Linked DNA regions of Xenopus tropicalis. The protein of the gene in region 2 purifies or fractionates together with the protein of the main gene of each other region. This does not show direct contact. Links are inferred from orthologs where the notes say so. Each region holds a gene or a part of one and is shown on either strand. Other genes may lie near its edges. The genes, in order: rin1 and abl2.

What was found.
Region 1: the proteins of abl2 (region 2) and rin1 purify together in Homo sapiens (co-immunoprecipitation; 3 studies listed by BioGRID and IntAct, counting the BioPlex papers as one, with this or other methods). This does not show direct contact. The link is inferred for Xenopus tropicalis from reciprocal best matches to the Homo sapiens genes ABL2 and RIN1.

The regions. Positions count from the first base shown.
Region 1 is NC_030680.2:38,263,117-38,275,894, reverse strand, and holds the start of rin1 (ras and Rab interactor 1), read right to left. Parts: upstream 11,299-12,778; 5' UTR 10,922-11,298; coding exon 10,780-10,921; intron 7,364-10,779; coding exon 7,237-7,363; intron 1,089-7,236; coding exon 911-1,088; intron 467-910; coding exon 352-466; intron 1-351. UniProt on the Homo sapiens protein: Ras effector protein, which may serve as an inhibitory modulator of neuronal plasticity in aversive memory formation. Can affect Ras signaling at different levels. First, by competing with RAF1 protein for binding to activated Ras.
Region 2 is NC_030680.2:99,865,004-99,877,781, forward strand, and holds part of abl2 (tyrosine-protein kinase ABL2), read right to left. Parts: intron 7,831-12,778; coding exon 7,660-7,830; intron 7,380-7,659; coding exon 7,084-7,379; intron 6,423-7,083; coding exon 6,150-6,422; intron 4,587-6,149; coding exon 4,502-4,586; intron 4,157-4,501; coding exon 3,979-4,156; intron 2,669-3,978; coding exon 2,484-2,668; intron 1,847-2,483; coding exon 1,694-1,846; intron 1,501-1,693; coding exon 1,411-1,500; intron 212-1,410; coding exon 38-211; intron 1-37. UniProt on the Homo sapiens protein: Non-receptor tyrosine-protein kinase that plays an ABL1-overlapping role in key processes linked to cell growth and survival such as cytoskeleton remodeling in response to extracellular stimuli, cell motility and adhesion and receptor endocytosis.

The DNA.
Region 1 (12,778 bases), about 62 Mb from region 2:
CCCCCTAACCCCCCCACAGGGCCCCCACCTGACGTCCTCCCCGAGCGCATATAAATTGAACGCGTCAGTAGGGGGAGCGCCGGCAAAGGTCGGACTGGGCCTCCGGGGCCCACTAGGGCTGGGGCCCACCGGGATTTTTCCCGGTGTCCCGGCGGCCCAGTCCGACCCTGCCCCCAGTCACTGACTAACTAAGTTCTGGTCATATAAGACATCTGGTCACTTCATCCTTAATAGATTACATTTTTGCCTAACTAACTATATTAGAAATATTTTTTATTTTGCAATGTCTATCCATTTTACCCAGTTTCATTTTTACACTGAACTGTTGATTTAAGTGTTCCACATGCCTACCTGCAGGGCTTTTGTGTATATATGCCTGATGAATGAAGCTTGGACCAGAATCATCTGACAGTCTCACACATAAAACCATCTTCTGGCGAGTATTGGACTTTCTCACTAGGAATGTCTGTAAGATAAAGACATGTTTGATCATGAAGAAGATATCAAATTTTCAGTCAGGTTCTGTATATTATTCTCGGTACAAATATGTCTGAAGTACCTCTTTCTGTACGATTAACGAAATTATTATTGGTAGGGCCTGGATGCAGGACATGCGCAAGGTTCCAATAGGGCCTGAGGGGGTTTGGGCAGGGGTGCAATCCCTGGTAACTCAACCACTATTTTGTACTTAAATAGATTTCAACTTTGATTTTTACATGCCTGTTTATAGGACTGCTCATTGAGTGCTTGCTCTCACCCATACGGTTGTTTCTGCGCCCCTAGGTAGGGCTTAGGCGGTGCACCTGAGCCTCCCCTCGACTGTGGTGAGTTCGGGACTACTTTATTTATTCCTGGTATCTCAAATACCTTAAAGCAGCCCCTTTAACATCTATTTCTGTAAATTACCTACCCCTGGAGGCTCCCTTTGCAATATATGCAGTGCAGTTGCCGAGTTGACTGTGCGGTGGAGCCAAACACTTTGGGTGAGTAGCAGTCTGTCTGTGATGCTGACTGATGTTGGCGACCCCTTGCGGATTGGAGTTGGAGAGGATTCCTGATATGGGAAATCATATACCGGTTCAGTCATCCTGCAGGAACAGAAAGATCACAGTTTATAGATGTACTGTATATTGGGCCCTAGCAACCAGATAGCTGCTGAAATTCTAAACTTGAGAGCTACTAATTAAAAAAAGCGAAATAATCCAAAAACAAACTTGCAGCAATAAATAAATACATTAATAAACAATAAAAAATAAGACCAAGTGCAAATATCATTGTGTGTGAAAAGTGAATATAAAGGTGAACAACATCCAGTACCATTAAGTGCAATGCGTTTTAGCTTTTTTTGGTTATATGCTGCAGGCCTCCCTTGGGCAGCTTTTTCCTGGTACACATTCAACTTCCTTTTAAAATCCATTAGTCCAGGCCCTTCTTTATGCTTGTGATACAAATTGAGGATCTATGCCCAGAATGCTTGGAACTTAGGGTTTCCAGATGAGGGGTCTTTCTGTAACTTAGAGCACCTTTCCTAAAAGCTACAAAACATTAAAACATTAAAAGAAAGCAACAGCTTTGTTTTGCCAGCAACATAAACTTAAAGGCTGCTTAAATATAAAGTAAATGGCGTTGCTTTATTATTATTAGAGAATAAAGAAAACTGTTAAAAAAAATCAGAATTGTTTAAAGGACAACAAAACTCCTATAAATTAGGGTTTTGTTTTCCTTGAATTTCCAAGGGAGTTTTTCTGCTGCACTGGGCTGGAGCATGTGCAATATATTAAAGTTGTAAAAATGACTATACTTCAATACGCTAGAACTAGAGGTCAGTAGAAGAAGCACGTGTCTAGGGTGGAGGGGCATTAGGCACATAACTCTTTTTTCTGTGTACCCCTGGTCTAGGCCCAAGGTCATTCTCTCCCCTGCGCACTCCCTTTGGCTCACACATTATCACTACACTCATTTGCGCATATGTGCGGGGGAAGGGGGCATGATGGCCGCAGGGTTGCCTAGGGTGCCTACCCTGGCAGTGACTTCACATGTGCTTTCCTAGGTCTAGGGCAGTGCACTACTCTGAGCTAGTGTGTACAGGAGAGTAGAATTGGCATAGGGTTACCATGTGGCTTCCCAAGACAATAGTCCCCCCTTGCATCCCCCACTTCCCCCCATGTCACTATGTGAAAAATGTAGGGTTAATTTCTATAATGGGTTTGGGATCCCATCCTGTCCTACCCATCTCAAACTGAATGAAGATTCAGTGTTTGTACAGTTGTTTGTAGTTCTAAGGGTTGGATTTCCAACACAGATGCTCCAAGTCCACAATTTCAGGATTTGTCCAAATACCAAATCCACTGCAAAAGATTTGGCTGAATCCTGAATCAAATCTGGATTCTGGATCACTCTGGATTCTACCAAATCTGAACCCTGCAAAAAAGGCTCAGATTTGCCCCAGAGAGACGGTTGCAGGGTTTGGTGCATCTCTAGTTTCCATCCGTTACTTCAGGCTGCAGAAATGCTAGAATCACTCCAGCAGAAATGCATTCAGCTAATGTTCACTGTCACTTCAAAAGCCTGAAAGTTTGGTTGTTGTATTCCACAACAAATGAGATTTTTCAAAAGTTCCACAAATATATACAGCCCCTGGGTGGGTATTAGCTGACAGGTTAAAGAAAGTCAAGTGAAGCTAATTTTAACTGACTGGTAGAAAGTATTTTTGAAGCAGAACAACAAATTTGCTGCTGAGAAGGGCCGGAACTAGGGGTAGGCAGAAGAGGCACCTGCCTAGGGCGCAACAGCAGGGGGCGCCAGGCAGGTGCCTCTCCTTTCACTTACCCCTATTTCCGTGCCTTTCCCCCCACTGCATCACCCCCCACCAGCAGCCTCAACAACCCCTGTGTGCGTTCACTCACTTGCACATATGTGCGCGCCCACGGAGGGGCCTTTAACTAATAATCAGTTTTAAAGCAAAAATTTGATTAGCTGCCACAGGTAACTGCCCAGGAGCAAATTTGCCCAGTGTTAATAAATGAACCCCCAAAACACCACTCTCTCAGTAGCAAGACCTTTCTTCTGCATTCTGATAAAGGCAGTATACATAGATATTAAAAAACAGCTTGCAGCTTGTGCAGACCCAGAGGAGATGCCAAATCTAGGTTACTGCGGTTACAATACAAAAGCTAAATACAATTGGCAATAAAAAGATATGTCTGTCAAATTCACCCTTTTGCGCAAATAAAACCTATCCTTACTTGAAACTATGCAATGTTAGTACAATTGCTTCAGGGAGAGAATTTACATGTTCCCTGTGACATCTAAGAACAAGTTAAGACTCAGATGTGCCAACCTGGCAGCAAAGTGCTCTACATTATATCACCGCAGCCAGCATTTGATGGAAACATTTGATGGACAGCATTTGCTTTCACCAAGGAGTTCCGTGCCCATATAAATGTGACAGGAATGAACCTAGAAGTGAAGTCTAGTACAGGTATGGGGCCTATTATCCAGAATGCTCAGGACCTGTCGTTTTCTGGATAAGGGATCCTTCTGTAATTTCGATCACCATAGCTTAGGTCAACTAAAAAAGAATTTAAACATTAAATAAGCCAAACAGGATTGTTTTGCCTCCAATAAGGATTCATTATATCTTAGTTGGGATCAAGTACAAGGTACTGTTTTATTATTACAGAGAAAAAGGAAATTATTTTTAAAAATTTTAATTATTTTATTTCAATTGAGTCTATGGGAGATTCCATTTTCATCTGCATAGTGGGTTACCAGGTTACAGATCCCATACCCGTATCTTAACTTTTTCTTTTACTATGGCAATATTAAATATGAGAATAATGGTGTCGAAGCATATTTATAAAATAAAAAAAATGATAAAATAAAAAATGAAAACTTGCAAATTATCTTAGAATATCAATGTCTATGTCATAATAAAAGTTCATTTAAAGGTGAAGTACCCATTGCTTTCCCAGCATCCCTCTCAGTTATTTTGCTCTCTTTCAAGGTGCACCTCAAATTACCCGAATGTCAGGCAGGGCAGCTTTAAGGTATCAGTGGGCCCAGGGTAAAGATCCCATTGGTAGGCCCCAACTGCCCCAAACATTTGTGATGACCTACCCTCAAATAGGTGAACTTCAATATTTCCATACAAGAATGGGTCATTAGAGGACTATCTACCATAGGCCATCTCTACTCTGCAACCTCCCTACGGTGGTTTTAGGATTTGGTGCAAAAATATATCTTACCACAAACTCAAAAATGTATCCATATGCAGCATCTGCATTTACTAAAACATTCCTCCCTGATATCCATACTTTGATACAAGCCACTATAATGGAGTATCTGTACGTAAAAGCCTGGAATGGAAAAGCAATTCCACATCATATCTAATCAATGGCAAGACATTCTTTCAGCTCCAAAAGGAGCTACCTGTTGTACAAACCACATAGAGAAGCATATCAAATTGACCCACAGGTGGTTACTTACACCAAAATCTGTAGCTTAAATTACCCCTCCCTATTCAAGCCAATGCTGGAGACTGAGCAGTTAGCAAGGGTCACTGTTACCCATGTGGTGGCATTGCCCCTTGGTATATCTCTTCTGGAAGGAAGTCTTCAAACTGAATAACAACACATTGCACTGTGACCTACATCAACAACCTCAAATAGCACTACTGTAGTTATATCCAATGGGCCTTCCAAATACAACCAAAAAGCTTCTATTTTATGTATTTAACACAGCTGGCTTTTTAATAGAAAAAGTTTGGAATAAGAAGACAAAAAACCTGCCATCACCCAGTCCAGCAACTGGACTTTAGAACAACCATGGAAAAAAATGGTTACCACGACCCCCAAGCTAAATACACCAAAATATGGGATACTGGCACCACAGATACTTTTTTATCTTATCATCCTGCCTAGACACTCTATCAGCCTAGGTACTTTAACCACTTCTTTTCTCTTCTCTGTTGTAAACAGTTTGAATGCTTTAAACACTCAGCTTAAAAAAAATGTCTTAAATAAAGATAACAGCTTTTTATTAAAACGATCCCTAATGAACATAGGCTCCAATATAAAGGTAAAGTGAATAAAAAAACATAAAAATGGCCATGCTGTAGAGCTCCATTTCCACTTGATTAAAATGAGGGGCCTGACATCTCTGGGGGATGCTTCCATTAAAAATGATACCATATAAAAAGACCGTTTGTGGGCTCCCTGTCCTTGTGGGCCCTGGGCAAGTGCTCTGTTTGTCTATTTATTACATTGGCTCTGATCTCAGGAGGTGATGGGAAGAATAAGATCTCCGAGAACATCTGGGAGTCTGGCCATAAATGCAAGAAAGCTAACATCTTGGCAAGGTGAACTCAACCGAACAACAGAAAGTATAGATGTTGGGAGCTCTCATTTATTGTTAACACTTGTATAGTTCTACATTGAGTGCCATCCATCTGCCCACACACATACACATACTTACCAGGCAGTTCTGTAAAATCATGCTGAGTAAGTTTGCTTTAAATTCTCTACTGCACTACAAATGTACTAATAATAAGCATACTGTTCTATGCTGTAAAATAATGCTTGTTCCATATATTTTTAATAAGTTGCACTGAATATTCATTCTGGGAACTGATGCACAGCGTGAAGTACTATATATATATATATTATGGGATTTTAAAATTACAGGTATGGGACCTATTATCCAAAAATCCATTATCCAACAAGTTTTCTGAATTACAGAAAGGCCATCTCCCAATGACTGAATTTTAATCAAATAATTAAATAATTAAAATTTTTAAAAATTATTTATTTTTTCTCTCTATGATGAGACAGTAACTTGTACCCAACTAAGATATAATTACTGTTTAAATAATTTTTTAGTTGACTTAGGGGCACATTTACCAAATCACAAACGCTTGGAGCGTTCATTCGAATGCTTTGAGCGTATTTCGCCGATTTTTTCGTACGTCCATGCGATTTTTTCGTACGGCGCACGACTATCTGTACGCTGCACAAACGCTTGCACGAAAAAATCGGAAAGGTTTTACTGCTGTTTACAATTGTACGGTATGAAAATTTCGTGACTTTCGAATCGCCAATACGATATTATCGTGACTAATACGATTTTCTCGTAAGCATTTTCGTGATATTTGTGATCTTCAGAAATTTTCGTTTCCAATCTGAATTTTTCCCATTCGGGATTCGAACTCGTGATTTGATAAATCTGCCCCTTAATGTATGAAGATCCAAATTATGGAAAGACAACCTTATCTGGAAAACCTCAAGTTCTGAGCATTTTGGATAACAGGTCCCATACACTCATAGAATTTAAAAAAAAAAAAAAAAAAAAAATATATATATATATATATACTAAATATAGTATATACTGTATATATAAAATTTTCTTAAGAATTACATTGTCTTTCAACAGTACGCCATGTAATGCCATGTAATATACCATGCTATGTCTAATAATGAAGCACTGTATAACATGCTTACTGTATGTAATAGGAATCCATTATCCAGAATGCTCGGAAAAATTATTCACTAATAATAATATTCAAATAACCTCTTATCCGGAATACCCTTTGTCCCAAGCATTCTGGATAAGGGGTCCTATACGGGGTCCAAAGGGTATTCCAGATAAGAGGTCTTTCCGTAATTTGGATCTCCATACCTTAAGTCTACTAAAAGGATTGTTTTGCATTCAATAAGGATTATTTATATCTTAGTTAGGATCAATAACATGTTTTATTACTACAGAAAAAAGGAAATCAGTTTTAAATTTCTGAATTATTTGATTAAAATGGAGTCTATGGGAGATGGCCTTTCCGTTATTCGAAACTTTCTGGAAAATGGGTTTCCGGATAAGGGGTCCGATACCTGTATATCAGTATTATGCCATCCAGGTGACCATAATCTTTTTTAAAAGCTGTCCCCTTTACTTAATGGTTAAACTAATTAAAATCCAAAAGAGAAAACATAGCAGGATGATGGCTGCAACAACAAAGTTAGCTAAAAGTTATTGATATCCCACATTGCCCCTTTAAAATATTTATGTTTAGCTTGTATGCTGTTCCAAACATTTCCTTCTTGATAAATGCATTCAGTGCTTTTCAGATTTTAAAACTACTGTGGAGTTTTCTTTTTGCCTCTCTAAGCTTATTTTCTTAGCTACTAATACATTTAGTAAGACTATACAATGCCAACATTTGAGCAGAAGTGCTGAGTAGCATACCTTGTGCAAGAAGGTCCTACCCTGCAAAGGGAATATTTCTCTTGATTTGCCCCCTCAGTGCCGCTGCTCAGACTGTGTCCAAGTAAATTCCACTGTGTCTGCCTGATTTTACTCCAGCCAGTGTGATCTGAAATTAGGGACAGGATTACACGATCACATTGCAATTATATCCAGACAGATTATAAACAAAACTCAAATTAAAAGAGATTTGAAAGTGTACATTAAAATACGGGCTTAATGAGGAACACAGTGCAATGTGCAAAGTGCAACTCAGAATCAAATTGCCATGCTTTTTACCCACAATGCAGTGTTTTTCCCCAGAGTTTAAAGGAAAACTATATCTTCAGAATGAAATGATATCCAGGATAAAATGAAAAAACAGCAGCACTCCGGAAATGTTGTAGAAAAAAGTGACTTTACTCAAGTGCACAGTGCTGTGTGCACTTGAGTAAAGTCACTTTTTTCTACAACATTTCCGGAGTGCTGCTGTTTTTTCATTTTATCCTGGATATTGTTTTACCCTGGCTGAGGGTTCAGCTTGCACCTGGGGCTACAATTAGCTGGTTTGTCCATTGTGTAGCACACCTTAATCAATTTGTCAATTTATATCTTCAGAATGAGTACTTAACCAACAGATTATAGTTTATAACATATTAAGTGCTCTATTAAATAATCTTACTTATCTGGAATATATACAGTATATCAGTAAATATTGCCCTTTTACATCTTGAGCCACCATTTTGTGATGGTCTGAGGGCTCCCTAAGAGATCACCTGACAGGAAATAATGTAGCACAGTTTGCCTTTTTGTAATGGGATGGTATAACTTCCCCTGTGCCAACGTGTCAGAGTTAGTAATGACAGTTGTGTCAATGGTGCAAACCACATGGAAAAATTGGAATTAGCAAGGATAAGGCTGCCATAACCCTTAAGGGGTTATCATGGCAATGGAACTATTGCTTTCTATTGATGACTAACTACGTGCTCACCTGTTTGCTTTGCAGCTGTAAAAAAGAACAATATACAGTTTGCTATCATGTTTTTTTATATCAATGATGTGGGTTTCAGTCTGTTCCTGTAGGGGATCAGATAAGGGTCACTATACCTTCTTTTTGAACTTTTGCCTGTTTATTATTAAAGAGATACTGACCCAAAAACACTTTTTTCAAAATAATAATGTTAATTAAAGTTACCTATAGGTCATGTTGATCATTTTTTGCTAACAGGGCTGCTTTTGTATGTAATTGTTATTTGAAGTTCCTAAACTTGACTGTTTTGCCAACCTGACTGTCTCTTCTCATCCAGTCAGTTACAACTTCTAATGCTAACGGACCCCTGCTGCACAAATATGGCCTCCCTCTCATAGAAGAACGAGGGGCATCAGATAGGTAATGTAAAAACATCAGGCAAATACTTTTAAGGCAAAATTATAAATAGCATGCAAAGACAATATTATGATAGATGTATAAAAAAGGTTAATTTCTGGTGTCAGTATAACTTTAAGACCTAGCATAAGTATTTCCTTATTGCTTTGTTTTCTCCAGTATCTTAGTAGTACTTAATAATTTGCCCAATAGAGAGTGCTGTTTCTGAATGACCGATAGCAGAGTAATTTCTAAATGCAGTGCTCTAGCACAATTGTACCCAATTAATCAAAACTGCACATGTGCATGTTAGCAAATCAGATGCTAGCATTTTCAAAGCAGAGATTCTGGCACTTCTGGGACATGGGGTTAAAACAGAATTATTGTGTGATTTTTTGGAGCAATTCTTCTACCCCAACCAATGCACCCCACTAGATTTACCACTACAAATGTGCATAATTCAGTAAGAGAGGCAGGGTGGACACAAAAGAGCACATTCACTTACTTAGATGCAGTGTACAAAGTGCAATATCAAGTACAATTACCATGTTTTTCCCACAATGCTTTTTTTTGGCATAATTCTGGCATCATTGCAGGCACAAACTGGCTGTTCTTTTGACACAATTGGGCTGTGCCCACCACAGTTGCTATAGCGATTCAATAAGATGCATGCACTTCATTGCAAATCGGTTGTTGTTGTGGCAAATATTTTCTAAGTCTGCCCGGCATCATTTCCAGTGACCAGTACTTTAGGTGCAAGTGTGCTGCGCCTATTTATACAGGGCGCTGAGGGCAGGGACATTTTCGGCCCCTGAGGCGGCCCCTCCGATGCCGCCCCCCATCACTTAGCTTTACAGCACTGAAGGGGGTCCAGGGGGGGAGTGCAATTGCGCTCTCTACACTAGAAGAGCCGAATTTCCGTTTTAAAAAAATAGAAATTTGGCTCTTAAAGTTACTAGGAGCAACTTTTTGCTGCCCCTGGTAACTATGGGGGCACTTGCCATAGCTGCTGGTAGCAGCGCCCCTGACTGAGGGAACCCTGGAGCTACCCCCTGGTCAGGGTTCCCCTGTATCAACAAGTGCAGCACAGCCTGTTTCTGAATGGAAGGCAGGAAGGACTGAAGGAACTATAGAGAAGTTACTTGATGCAAATACCTTTAATAAAAGTGGTTTTAGGTTTAACTGATGGCAGAGAAAAGCACAAGTTGCCCACTGCACAAACAAAAATGAGCCCTAATGTCGCTTAATGCAACTATATGCGAGTGCAAGGAGCAAGCTTGAAAGCACCTTACCTGCATTTGTAATGACTCATATAGAGTCCTTAGTCCTCATTTCCTATACACAAGGCAAGATGCAAAATGTAAATGTGGAAGTTCCATGTTTTGGTTCTTTCCAATTTGGATTGTGCCCAAAGGTACAGCTCTTGAGATCCTGTGTTCACTTCTCCGAGTACAAAGCTGCCTAAATTTAGCAGCACTGAATTCATAAGGGGACAAGTGGTGGGCATCTCCTTTGATATTGCTTAGCTTGTGCATCTGAATGACAGGCTAACTAGGGAGAGCCATCAGGGACCAGGAGCGTTCTGCATCATGCCCAGGACTTTTAGTCTGGTACAAGGCGCAGATTGCAGATTGCACTGAAATTCCACACATTGTGCCCATGTGATTAGTAAATGAGCCCTGTTATGTAGAGAAACATCTCATTGTAAATAAATATTTATTTAAAAATGAAGTGAATATAAACTTATAAAACAGCTTAAAAATTGGGAACTCTGGTTCAGTTTCCCTCTTTATGATGTCAATACTGCAAGTTCTGTAGTGTAAATGAGATTTATACAGAGTGCAAGCTTTGCAGACAACATTGCTTTTAGTGTATATCTGTTTCTACTATTTATGTCAGAAGCCTGCAACTTACATCTGCCACTTCGTAAGTGAAACATGCCAGTGTATATTAACTATTTTTATGCTCCCTATCAGCAATTATTTTCACTCATCCTTGGTATATATATATATATATATAATATATAAACAGCCTCAGTACTATAAAAGTATTTCTTTAAGTGTCTTTTCCTGGGCATTTGCTGCTTATCACCTGGCATTCAAAGGAATGTACAATCTTAAGAATAACTAAAGAAGCTTTCTTTTATCCAAAAGAAGTCTAAGCTTTTATGTTGTACATACCTTGCCTTGCTCCGGCCTGGGACAGTGAGTCCAGATTCTCCTTCTTGCTCTTTTTCCCACCCCCATGGGTGTTCCCAGGGTGACTAACCCTTAGGGTGTTGCAAGGTATACACGCGGCTCCTTGCTCACTCATGATTTCCATGCACTCTCCTCCCTCCTTTTCTCCCTCTTACAGTTTTTCTTTCACTGTTCTTCTTCCCCACATGACTGCTTTGCAGAGACTTGTTAAATCAAAGCAGCTTTAGAGATTCATTTCATTAGCGGGGAAGAAAGAGAGTGAGGGAGAGAGAGAATGAGGGAGTGCATAAGAGAGAGACAAAGGAGAAATTTTAAAGAGAAAGAGTGCAAAAAGACTCTGAGCTACAAAAGGAAAGGAAATGAATTGGAGAAGAATGAGTTTAGTGGAAGGAGCTGCATTTTCATAGTATGAGTAAGAGTGAAATCCGGGAATGATTGTAAAGGACTGGAGTGAGAAGATAAAGGAGGGATTTCTACAGTAAATGGGTCAGAGGACAAAATGGATATTTAACATGTTATGATTAAAATGTTGTGCAATGCAAATATAGCTCCTAGTAAGTCGCAGAGAAAGGATATGAATCCCAGCATGGAAAGCATGTATTATTCCATGGTATCTCATACTGTGTTAAAACTTCCTGCCCCAGTGCACCCAAATAAATTATGGAATTAACGGCTGTACTTTTTTCACCACCCACAACCTGCTCTCGCCTCCTGGAGATATCACATTCCTTTCCTATAACTACTGATTAAACAAATCCTGTAGTGACGTAATGAAGGTGCGCCTGGCCTGCACGCCTGGGCACATCACATATAGCCAGCAGGATCATAAAGAGGATTCTTCTTAACTACTCCATAAAACAGGCAGCCAGCTGCACACAGAGATGACAGCACTGCTGCTGTGGGCAATACCTTATGTTCTTTATAGATAATACTGTCAGCTGTGCTCAAAGAATGTTTATACCCATAGTAGCAGAGTGTTCTACCATGTTAGCCATAAATCAAAACCAGAAAATATAGAGTAGGTCATACCTCGTATTGGCTAATTTAGTGGATTATGAAATGTGAGCTTTCTGGACAACTTAGGTCCCTGCTTCAGGTATGATAACCAATGTTATTATTACCTACCAAATTAACCAATAAAAGGTATCACCTACTATACTTTCTGATAATGTTCATGAACCATAGAGGAACATATCCTCATATATACATATCTGCACTCACAGGTCTTAAGAAGAACAAAATGGCACTTTATTTAAGGAGCTAGCTCACTAGCCAAAACATTAGTTTCCTTGAAATAAAGTGCCATTTTGTTCTTCATAAGACCTGAGTGCTGACCTGCTTTCTCCTTACAGCATTTCTTTTGCAGCTAGTGCCATGCTCCCTGCTGGCACTGTGGGCTTTTCAGGTAGATGGATGATAGATCTATGGCTTTTGAGTTTTTTGTAAACACAAATAAACTAATTTCCACTAAAACTACAAATGTCTAGTCATTTATTAAAAGATCCAAATTGAAAAAGCACAAACAAAAAACACAGAAAAATGCGAAAAACACATTTTTTGGTGTTTTTTAATAAATAGAGCGTTCAAAAAATCTAAAAACCTTGACTACCATGAAAAATTGGGGAAAAATTGGCCAGGATTCAATTGGGCAGGCTTGATTTTCCCATCAGATCGGGAACCGCATTGGCTCATTAATGCAGTCCTTGCACCAACGGCTCCTATACCCGTTATTGTAATTTGATAGGGCCAACCAATCAAATTAGCCTGATATCCCCCTGGGAGAAAGATCTTAACGTGTATGGCCACTTAAGTCATGCTGTATGCTTACCTTTGGAATCTATTATCCAGAAACTTGGTCTCTAGAAAGCTCCAAAATATGGAGCAAAAAAGCAAAAAAAAAAAATTTCATTGATTTCCTTTTTTAATCTGTATAAATCCATGTTTAAATAAGATGGTTTCCACCTTCTATTTAAGAATATCT
Region 2 (12,778 bases):
ATTTCAGTTACAAAAATAAAAAAAATCTTCAGAATACCTGGTGTAGAACTGGAAGTAGAGTTGTCTGAGGAATCCCCTGTGCCTTCAATGTTCTCCTTGTTCTCTGCCTTTTTCTTTAAGGTGCGAGATTTTGAGGGCAGCATGGGGAGCCGGCATTGATATGAAACTGATGATGAAGTAACAGCTGTGCGTCCTAGCTCTTCTGCTACCTCTGAAGACAGAGATAAACAATAATATAGGCAAACTCAAATACAATAAATAAATAACCGAACAACTATAACCAGTGGCTATATAGCCTATTAAAACAGGGATGGACACATTTCTGAAACAAGCAAATAACTTAACCAAATATAAAATGTATATCAAAGCTTGCTAATATGCCATGTTAGATAAACATTTCCAATCAGAGATTTGCCTTTGTATACCATTTATGCCAGTTCCTAAAGGGATACTGTCAAGATTTTTATTGTGTAGTTTTTATTACTAAATTACACTGTTTATATAGCAAATAATTCACTCTACCATTTAAAACTGTATTCTTTAACCAGTAAGTGTATTTTTTAGATGTACTATTGGTGAGTAGGCAGCCATCTCAGTTCATTGTGCCTGATCCTGGGCTTTCAGAAAGAGCCAGCACTGCACAATGCAACTGCTTTCAGATAAGCTATTTCTCCTACTGAGTGTAACTAGAGGAGTGATGACCAGACTTGGGTATTTAAATATTGGGTGCTATTCTCATGTCTACCACTAAGCAATGTAGATGTTAGTGAGCGGTTATCTTGTTACCTACCCATTGTTCCGCTGATAGGTTGCTGGAGTAGAAAGGAAGGGGTGAAATTCCTTGCAGTGCAGCATCAAAGAGTGACTTAAATGAACAGTAACACCAAAAAATATGAAGTGTATCACAGTAATATGTTATATATATATATATATATATATATATATATATATATATATATATATATACACACACACACACACACACACACATACATACACACACAGCACATTATCTTTGAAAATTACTTTAAACCATTCTCATTTTGTGTTACTGTTCCTTTAAGTTTATCAGAGCAGAATCACATGGCCAAGGGCATATGGGAAACTAAAAAACATGGCTGGGCCCACATCAAATTTCAAACTTAAATATACAAAGATCTATTTGCTCTTTTGAAAAATTGATTTCAATGCATGATTTTGTTAAAGAAGCTCTATTAACCAATGTATTTTGAAAAAAAAAAAATGTTTTCCCATATCAGTATTCCTAAAAGCTTTTTCTTCGGAGGCCATATGTTGTTGAAAAATGGTGGAAAACCCAAAAATTGAAGAACAATCTATATAATTGTAATTCATTTTAATTGCTATTCTGAATTTTTGGTGGAAACCCACAATACAAGTTAATAGACTTACCCTCATTAATATTTGAATCATGAAACATGGTCTCAAAAGCTTGATGAGTCTCTGAAAAAGATGGCCTGTCTGATGGATTCCACTGCCAGCCTAAGAAGAAAGCAGTCTCAGTAAGAAATATCATGCATGGTAAATGCCTTTGGGTCCTTGAAATAGGTGGTTCTTGCTTTTAACAACAAAGCAAAAACAATTTGTGTATCACAAGACATATATATTAAGAAAGGACTGCTGTTAATTTAGAAAACAATAAAGGTGAGTGAGATTATTTGCAAAAAGTACTTACATGCTCTCATGAGCTCGTACACTTTGGGAGGACACCCTTCTGGCTGTTCCATGCGATATCCCTTCTCTAACAAGTCATACACTTGAGAAAGGTCTATACCAGGATAGGGTGACATTCCATAGGTTGCAATTTCCCATAGAAGTACCCCAAACGCTGCAGTAAACAAATGAAAGCTTCTTAAGGACAGGTTTCAGCAGATTTTAGAATAAAGCTTGGCATATTTTCAACAACAAATTTAATTTACAAATATACAGATTATTAGCAATTTAAAGAATTCCAGTAATGTTGGAGAGAGATTTAAGGTTGATTTCATGTCACAAATACCTGATGTCAGTAGAAAGGACTGAGAGGTTATGTTAATGCTTTAAAAGGTACTTCAGTCTTCCACTATGAGCTTGATAATATTTTTAAGGCATGCAGAGATAGAGCAAACACTGATAGAGAAAACACTCTAAAAACAAAAGGATATTGGTATGTGGGAACTAACTGTGACTCGATCAGATTTAATGTACCTCTAATCTGAATTAGGGAATTGTTTATATTCTATACCAAATCACTCGCATCCAAAACGATTTGACGTTGTGATGTGGTTGATACTGAATATGTCACATTATTTTAAATACACCTTAGTGAAAGTTCTAGGAATGTCATTAAGGACGTTTCTCTGTTATTTAGAATTAGAGTGGATTTTAAACCAAACCCCCCTGCACCTCTTTAAATGGTATAAAAGTACATTGCAGTATCAGAAAGTAGACAAAGTAAATAAAGTACATAACAAACTCTCTCTTACCCCAAACATCTGATTTTATGGAGAATGTATTATATGCCAAACTTTCTGGAGCAGTCCATTTAATTGGGAATTTAGCACCAGCATGTGCTGTATACGTATCACCAGTCATAAGGCGGCTCAGTCCAAAGTCCGCTACTTTCACCACATGATTTTCCCCCACAAGACAATTTCGTGCAGCCAAATCCCTACAGAAAAATCAAGGGTATTTAGTATAGACATTAAAAAAGGACACAACCTTACATCCTCATTAATGAGTTCAAGGGATTATTAACTTTAAAGGGGTTAAACATGTGTAGATGAATACAACAGGATACAGAATTGACAATCACTTCTAATCTCCAATTATGAACAGCACTCCAAATGAATCGTATCGTATAAGCATTTCACTTTATATCATACTGTGTATGAGACAAATAAATTTGAATTTAATCTTCTTAAAACCGCCTTTATTCACAAAATTGGCACAGACCAGGATAGTAAGGTTCAGGTCTTCATTGACCCTTTATCAAGCTAAGGCTTCAAGCCAAAGCTTGATAACGGGTCAATGTAGACCTCGAACGTTGCTATCCTGGTCTTTGCCAATTAAGTGAATAAAGGCGGTTTTAAGAAGATTAACTTCATCATTGAAGAATTCTTGGTCTAGTAAGGTGAACACGGAGAAATTGTGGAATCCGGTTTGGTGCTGGCTTGCAGTCTGTTCATCACTTTTTATCTACCATAGCCTTGAGGCCTTAGAGATACACACTGTGTATGCATTAGTAATGAGTGGAAGCTAGAGTAGTACAGGTGCTTACCTTTCAGCCAAATTGTTTTTACTACAGTACAGTGAAACCTCAATTTAACATAGCCTTATGTTAAGTTTTACACTGTTTTTGTCCATTTCCCAGATTTTGAATTTTCCCAGATTATAAACCATTTTATTCTGGTCCGCCGAAAAATGTAAAATGGGGGTTCTACCGTAGTACGTGCCTCAACAAGTATTTTTTGCAATTTGGATTAATTAAAAAAATGCTTCATATAACTAAATCCCAAAAAACAATTACTACACTAACTCAGAGCATCTGCAGAGTAATGTCAGAAAGTGATCCGTAAGACTGGCAATGACCTACTTTCCAACAGAACTTGTAAAAAAAAAAAACAGCTAAATTTTTCAGATTTTTGGGGCTTTAGCATTTCTTTGTGATCTCACAGCTCATAGTCAATGATGCATGAAAAGTGTACAATGGGAGAGAAAAGTTGCCACTGTATATTATACTTTTGTATTCTAATAAACACTTTTAGTAAGTTATCTAAACATTTTATTGTTTTGTATTAGGATTTTCAAAGTGAAACTCAGTGTCTGCGTATAGATACATCTTGCAACCCACTACTATGTATACAAAGTTGCCAACTGAAAGACACAAAGCTATAATTTAAGTTCCCAGACCTCACAATGTGTTACTGATGGATTTGCTGGACTATAAAATTACTCAAGGTACCTATATATGCAACTCACCGATGGATAAAATTCTTTCTTTCCAGATATTCCATTGCAGAGGAGATCTGAGTGGCCATGTAAAGTAGCACAACAGCAGTCACCTCTTCCCTATTACATTCACGTAAATAGTCTAGAAGGTTCCCATAGTGCATGTATTCAGTTACTATGTAAAATGGGGGCTCCAGTGTGCAAACACCTAAGAACATAGTTAAGATGACAGATAAATATATTGTAGGAAGAATAGGCTATTACAGGTTTTAATAAGCAGGTATCCCAAAGGTCATTCTTACTTTTACGTAGTATCTAAAAATATTCATTCCTTCATTTAATAGTGTATTACATTCTACCTGGACAGTGCACTGCATCACAGAATGAAGACACTTGTACATGCATCAAAAAAACACAGCCAAAGGGAACAAAGACAGACTGACTAATGGAAGAAACCGAGAGCCAAAAGACTAATGTAGATCCTGTACATATTACACACACATTCACTCATTCTTATGGGTAATGCTTTGAATACTTTCTTTAGGTTACATACCCAGAAGTTGCACTAGGTTGGGGTGTTTAATTTCCTTCATTACTGCTGCTTCCTTCAGAAACTCCTCCACTTCCATAGTGTCTTCCTGGATAGAGCAGAAAAAGAGATATTAAAACAAATTATCACATATATAAGCCAAGCAAACATGTAACATTTTTGTTTGTTTGGCCCCAGCACAAATGGCTTACTTGGAGCCTGGGAAGAAACCTACTTGTAAAGTAAGCAGAGCTGCAAAGCAAAAAATAATGGCACTGTCGCAGTTACACGAAAGCAAAAAGGATGGAAAAAATGAGAGGCCATCTTAAAATCTGCACACTAAAGTCTTTCACATCATAATGTGTTTGTCTAGTATAAAACACTGAATGCAGCTCTGCATAGCAGATGCAATGATGCTGGAACTATGTGAAAAGAATGCTGCCTTGTGACTTAATGGTTGAAATACTTGTTGCATTCAACTTTTTCATAAAGCGATTCTGGCATGATTTCTATGGTGTGCTTTTTTCTAAATTACACTGTGTACACTGCAAATAATTTATTCTACCATTTAAAATTTCTAGAACCAACAAATGTATTTTTTAGCTGTAATATTGGTGTGTAGGCAGCCATCTCAGTGCATTGCGCCTGATTCTGAGCTTTCGGAAGAAGTCAGCATTACACAATAGAACTGCTTTCAGATAAGCAGTTTTTTCCCACTCAATGTACTGTCAATAGAACCCAAGTCGCATAACAGCAAAACAGGTTTCTCCACCTGGGTTGATATTCTCATGTCTACCACTAGGTGGGCCACTATAATGAGCACATTTAGCAAGGCACAATTTCTTAAGTCATTTGATCTCTACATTGCTAATCTTCTCCAGCCTTCAGGAAATATGAAGGGGGTCTCGGGTGTCAATGTATTGCCTCTCGTATTTTAATTCCATTTAGTTCATTATACTGCCTCTTACTGTATTTAATGTATTTTGGGCTGAAGTTCCCACTGCTTCTCACTTAATGTATTTTGGGTGCCTCTACATCTATCCCTCACTGTAAAATATAATGAAGATCTGTAGTTATCGTTCATAAAAACAGTGTACCATTATTAAGTGCATACTGTGTATATATATCTATATCTCCTTTACTATACAAACTAATTAAAGGTAATGGGGCACATAGAGCTGTATTTTCACAGTGTATTTTACCTGGCAGAGAACCCACACATTATTGGGGTCATTATAGGCAGTTTTGCCTGCTTACCCACTCATAATTCAAAACAGTACCAGGAGTGCTATTAGCTCATGTAGGCACTATCAGTTCAGACTGCTGAATCCTTTACCAAAGGTTTCAGCGAGGTGTTATCTTGTTACCTGTCCATTATTCAGTTGTTGGCTGCTGGGGGGGGGGGGAGGAGGGGGTGACATCAATCATAATTTGCAGCACAGCAGTAAAGAGTGACAAAAGTGTATCAGAGTACAAGTGATGTGGCTGGGGGCACCTAGGCAGGTAAGGTAACAGCTATCCCCAAATCAAATTCCAAAATTAAATATAACAAATCTGTTTCAGCTTTAAAAAAATGGATTTCAGTGCATAATTCTGTTTTTAAATGTTTTCTTGTGACAGTATTCCATTAACAATGGAGGTTTCTGCATTATATAACAGATCTTTATATTACCTTAAGTGTTTTGACAGCTACTGTAAGGTTGTATTTTTTCCAGACACCAACATACACTTCGCCATACTGGCCTCCACCTAACTTGTGCTTCATAGTGATATCAGTACGTTCCATTTCCCATTTATCATGGATAGGGGACACTCCATAAACTGTGGGCTTGTTACATTTCGGTGCCGGGTAGTGAAGAATAGTAACAAGGCCATCAGCCACAGTAGAATGATGGTGAACTAGTTCAGCTAAAGTGTTGAATCGACTCTCTGCTGTGACATACACCTGGAGAAATAAAGGTATTTGTCAGGCAATGGCATTGTTTATTTGATAAGGAAGTAACAAAGAAGCAGCTGTTGAAGAAGATATGCACCACAAAATTCACTCGTTGGTGCATATAACCTCTATTTCTTGCTGATTCAACTAGTACTTACAGAAACAGCATAAACACTATTATATATCAAGTAATAGAGCAGAAGTGCTAGGGTGATCTGGGATAATATGCTAAATAAAGGATACACATACATAAGCCTTCAGGACATATAGTGTACACAAAGTGTTTGACACATTTTATTTTTCTGTTAGGGGATTAAATGTGTGTGCTTTTTACTCACACATGAACACATTTTCCTTCTCAGACTTCTCTGTGTTTAAATTAGAGCTCTACACCAATGGGGAAAGGAGGCATAATAAAAGGGACTTTGCATGGTGACATCCTTTATTCTCATAGGGAAGCTATAAAAGACAAGTATAGCAGCCCTATGAAGCGAGAAAGGACAAAAATAAGGCTTCTTATGGCCCAAGGTTATGAAATATTCTATTTTTAAAATTCCATGAATAAGGCAGTTTCAAGCCCATTATCATTTAAATGGCAACATACAGTCATAATCGAAAGTTGCTCATAAATGAACTTTGCGTGTAAAGTTGCAGAAATAGGCCTCCTCACCTTCCCATCGGAAGCTGTGTTAATGCGGTAGTGATAAACACGGCCCTCATAGCGTAGCGATATGGAGAGCTGACCAGGACTACTCTCACTTTCACGCACCAGAAAACTACCATTAATAAGGCTGCTGAGCAGGTACTCTGCAGCACTCCGAGACACGGGTCCATGATACCATGAGTGTTTTTCCAGGCTGTTGACAGGAGTTATGTAATTGCTTGGCACCCAACCCTGCCCATTCTTAGACAGTACTTCACACCATTCCCCATTCTGGTTGTAGCACAGGACACGGAGCTTTTCCCCTAAAATAGAAAATAATTATTAATTAACGGGCTAATATCACCTTCCAAAAAGTCACTCAAAAGGACTGAATGCAGAAGTTGCTTTTATCATATTATATCAATAATAAAAAGGATTTCTGGATTTTTGTTTAATTCCCCTTCTGTTAAAATATATAGACATACAGTACAGTTACATGGTCAGAAACAGTAGATTTACCCCCAGGAAATATTTGGTACTTATAAAATTATCATGACACTGCAGCAAATAAAAGTAGCTAATGTGCATGTTCATTTCACATACCTTTGGTGATGCTTAGTGTGTTGTCGCCACTGGCAACAAAATCATAAAGGGCAAGAAAGAGATTGGGATCACTTTCTGTGGCTCCCAAAAGATTCTCCTTGGAACTCCAGCGGATAGCATCAGTAAGAGCCTGTGGTTCAGAGTCACTGCCATAAGGACGATGTAGTGCTTCTGGAAAAGAACACAGAGTTAATAAGGAAATAAGATGCAAAAAGTAAAGCTACGGCTGAAACATATACAGGTATATATGGAGCTGATTTCACTTTGGTCTAAAAATTAATACTACCTGTAAAAATAGCCCCTTTACTGGAGCTTGCTGTCTGTGTTTCAGGGGTCAGACCAAAAAACTACTTTTAAAAACACATTCCTTCTATATTTAGATGAGTACAACTTACACAGTATTGTTTTTCACACAATATGTCCCCTTTAGTGGATTATCTACACATTATAAAAAAACATATGCATACACAATATAGTGTCCCTGAAACACAACAGTAAACCCTGGGCTCCTCCTAAATATACAGGTCCTTTTCAAAAAATTAGCATATTGTGATAAAGTTCATTATTTTCTGTAATGTACTGATAAACATTAGACTTTCATATATTTTAGATTCATTACACACAACTGAAGTAGTTCAAGCCTTTTCTTGTTTTAATATTGATGATTGTGGCATACAGCTCATGAAAACCCAAAATTCCTATCTCAAAAAATTAGCATATTTCATCCTCCCAATAAAAAAAAAGTGTTTTTAATACAAAAAAAGTCAACCTTCAAATAATTATGTTCAGTTATGCACTCCAATACTTGGTCGGGAATCCTTTTGCAGAAATGACTGCTTCAATGTGGCGTGGCATGGAGGCAATCAGCCTGTGGCACTGCTCAGGTGTTATGGAGGCCCAGGATGCTTCAATAGCGGCCTTAAGCTCATCCAGAGTGTTGGGTCTTGTGTCTCTCAACTTTCTCTTCACAATATCCCACAGATTCTCTATGGGGTTCAGGTCAGGAGAGTTGGCAGGCCAATTGAGCACAGTAATACCATGGTCAGTAAACCATTTACCAGTGGTTTTGGCACTGTGAGCAGGTGCCAGGTCGTGCTGAAAAATGAAATCTTCATCTCCATAAAGCTTTTCAGCAGATGGAAGCATGAAGTGCTCCAAAATCTCCTGATAGCTAGCTGCATTGACCCTGCCCTTGATAAAACACAGTGGACCAACACCAGCAGCTGACATGGCACCCCAGACCATCACTGACTGTGGGTACTTGACACTGGACTTCAGGCATTTTGGCATTTCCCTCTCCCCAGTCTTCCTCCAGACTCTGGCACCTTGATTTCCGAATGACATACTTTGGACCACTGAGCAACAGTCCAGTGCTGCTTCTCTGTAGCCCAGGTCAGGTGCTTCTGCCGCTGTTTCTGGTTCAAAAGTGGCTTGACCTGGGGAATGCGGCACCTGTAGCCCATTTCCTGCACACGCCTGTACACGGTGGCTCTGGATGTTTCTACTCCAGACTCAGTCCACTGCTTCCGCAGGTCCCCCAAGGTCAGGAATCGGTCCTTCTCCACAATCTTCCTCAGGGCCCAGTCACCTCTTCTCGTTGTGCAGCGTTTTCTGCCACACTTTTTCCTTCCCACAGACTTCCCACTGAGGTGCCTTGATACAGCACTCTGGGAACAGCCTATTTGTTCAGAAATTTCTTTCTGTGTCTTACCCTCTTGCTTGAGGGTGTCAATGATGGCCTTCTGGACAGCAGTCAGGTCGGCAGTCTTACCCATGATTGCGGTTTTGAGTAATGAACCAGGCTGGGAGTTTTTAAAAGCCTCAGGAATCTTTTGCAGGTTTTTAGAGTTAATTTGTTGATTCAGATGATTAGGTTAATAGCTCGTTTAGAGAACCTTTTCATGATATGCTAATTTTTTGAGATAGGAATTTTGGGTTTTCATGAGCTGTATGCCACAATCATCAATATTAAAACAAGAAAAGGCTTGAACTACTTCAGTTGTGTGTAATGAATCTAAAATATATGAAAGTCTAATGTTTATCAGTACATTAAAGAAAATAATGAACTTTATCACAATATGCTAATTTTTTGAAAAGGACCTGTAAGTACAACAGAGGCTTATTCCGCACACCCTAGCTCTCCAAACCAGAACGCCCGGTGCACACTGCCAGAGGGATCGGCACCCTCCTAAATATAAACCCCTTTATTTAAATGAGAGCAAAGACAAATGCACAAGGGCATGAATATATTACAAAGCATACACCACTTCTCTCTGCAATACCCTAACACAGTTCCATATTGACCTGTCTCTTCCCTTCCCACTTCTTAGAATTAATGCACCTTCATACTTGGAAAGTTTAACAGGAGCCAGAGTAGGTGCCCTCTGCAGGGCAAGAACCTCCTTTCAACTGTGCCTCTTATAATGGGGCGCTAAGATTTATATAAGGTCAAATTGGGATTCTTAAAAATAAATTTGGCATTTCCCCAAAATCAAAATGTTATTACATTTAATATTGTTTTGTTTTACAAATGTTTGCAACTTTTCCATAAATCATTAGACTAAAACTTTTTGGCTGCAAATGTAATTATTCTGCTCATTTATAAAAGCATTTTCTGTGTCAGCTGCTATTTCAATATTATTAATGCACTTTATATGCATTGCACATACAAGCAGCACTATATACACATATATAAAAGATTTGAATTGCATTTACTCAAATCTAGCATACAGTGGCACAGAATTTAATTACTAGACAAAATGACTAAAAAACAACCAAATTCTCATGCAAGTGCAGTGTCAATGTGGAACAATCAACACCATTTAGCAGACAAGATGCTAAAAAGAGGATGCAGTTCTGGCAGAGAGTGGACAGACAGTGGAGGAATCTGGTGGCAGAAACAAGTGATATAAATAGGCGATAATGAAATGCAGACAAACATGATCCCAGGTTTCTAGACTCCTTTTACTGACCATTAGCGAGCACTTATTTCTGCTACATGACATCATGTTAACTGCTAATAACAGGCTGTGGTGTGAGCCAGACAGATCCCCCGTCCCCCTCTCAAAATATATATGTAAATTTAAATAAACACACAATTTTTAAACGTGTTTTGAATTCAAAGCAACCACTGAAATACACGGGACTACAAAGAAAAGTGATAAAACTAAATGAGGGAAGTAAATCATACTTAAAGATTTAAAGACATAAAGGCTGATCTATCAATGTGAATTTTTGGTGTCTATCAAATTATTTAATGCTAAAATGCACACATTTTAATTAGGATTTCTAAAAGTAAATCATTAATATTAAGTGCAAAAGAAAGTCAAGCGTGTAACTTTGGCATCCAAAAGCTAGCAAGTTTATGTAGAAGACAATGGGAATTGACCTAGCAAAATGTAAGCGATATTTTCAGTTTCAAGTTTTCAGATTTTTTGGGGAGTTTGTGGAGCAAATGAAAATAATGAGTTGAATGCAAATTTGCTGCGTTCAAGTTTTTTTTCACTGTTTAATTTGATCAAGTTCTTTGTATTATCAAGTTTAGCAAGTTTTAGAGTTTGAAAGAACTTGAAAAATTCACAATTTCTAATTTTGATAAATTGACTTCTGTTTTTAAAACAGCTGCAGGTCGTAATTCAGAAGGTCTGATTCAAAAATACATGTATGTATCTGTAATTCCCAGTCAAGAGACACTCTCCTTAGCTACACTATCCACTTTTCATTGTTAGCAGTCTTATTCATTCAGATCTACTTCTTACTTACTGACAGGTCCTTAGAATGCACCCTTTATAAGGCAGGTAAATGCATGTGCTCCTTTAGCTTTAATTACTATTTTCAAAATTGAATATAAAACCACTCTACAGTCTGCAATAACGAAAAGAAATGTAGCCATACAAAACTGTTTGCTGAGAGATATATATATGCGCTACATACACATTAGGCACGAACAACAGCAAAAATAAATAAAAAACACTCAAACTTCTCGTCATATACAGCCCATCTATTCCACCTGAAAGATCATGCACAGTACCTGAGCAGAAGACAACATGTTGCAGGAAGGACTGGTCCCAAAAAGATATGCCTTTCATGTGTCTCTTGCCATTTAATCTTTTGCAAGAGGCCAGGACAGGCCCAAGGATCATCACCGACTTAATACAAAATGCAGCTAACAATGTGGCATAAACCCAGATCTGTATGACGACTCTCAGAAAAGCGAGGAGGCTGGCATAGCAAAATAATTTGAAGGGCTGGGTGGGGAAGGGAGGAGACCAATGTTAAGCTTTAGAGTCCAATTACAAGCAATGGCTTGTGAGTAGCACCAGCTGCTGTTTCAAGATGCTGGGCTGGGCTGTATGGGAGGAGAGGAAAGATCTGCTCCAGGGTGGAATTCTGTTTACCTACTTTGTACCACACTAATGTCTTGACAGCACCACATATTGGAAAGAAGCCTTGTAGTAAAGCCAAGTCAAATTAGATGATTAGTATGGGTGACTTTTCAAGTATAATCATTCAATGTTCTCCCCATAGAAAGAGACATGCAAACAGCAACACATCTTTATTAGGGCTATAGACCAGACAGTCAGAGCTACATTCCCTCAAGAACAATGTGGATTGTTTCTCTACACAACTGCAAGCAACAGTAACTAATAAAGTAGTTATACCGTCACGGTAGACTTTTTTGCCCTCTACCCCCAGAGAACCCTAAGCAGCACCCAATTTCTTTCTGTGTAACATACAACCAACATATAAATGCAGTTCATATTAATATACCTGCAATATAAATGCTTGTTTTCATTGCCTGTTAATGTAGTGTCAACAAACTGTCCCTGCAAGCAGCTGTCTAGTACATTTCATAATGAATTTCCACACTGCTACTATAGACTTTTGTTCTAGGGGCACTATAATGAAAACTTAAGTTTGTGCCAGAAAACAATGGAAAGTTGCTGTTAAACAGCACAAGTTGGGAAAGTTTATTTACTTGCAAATCAAAGGTCGTTACAGTAACAATTATGCTTACATAGGCCATTACCCTCATCTTTCCTTTTACAAAGTTCCATCATACCTTTTGGTCGAGATTCTGGCTAAACATATAGACCCACTTACATGTTATTACTTTAGG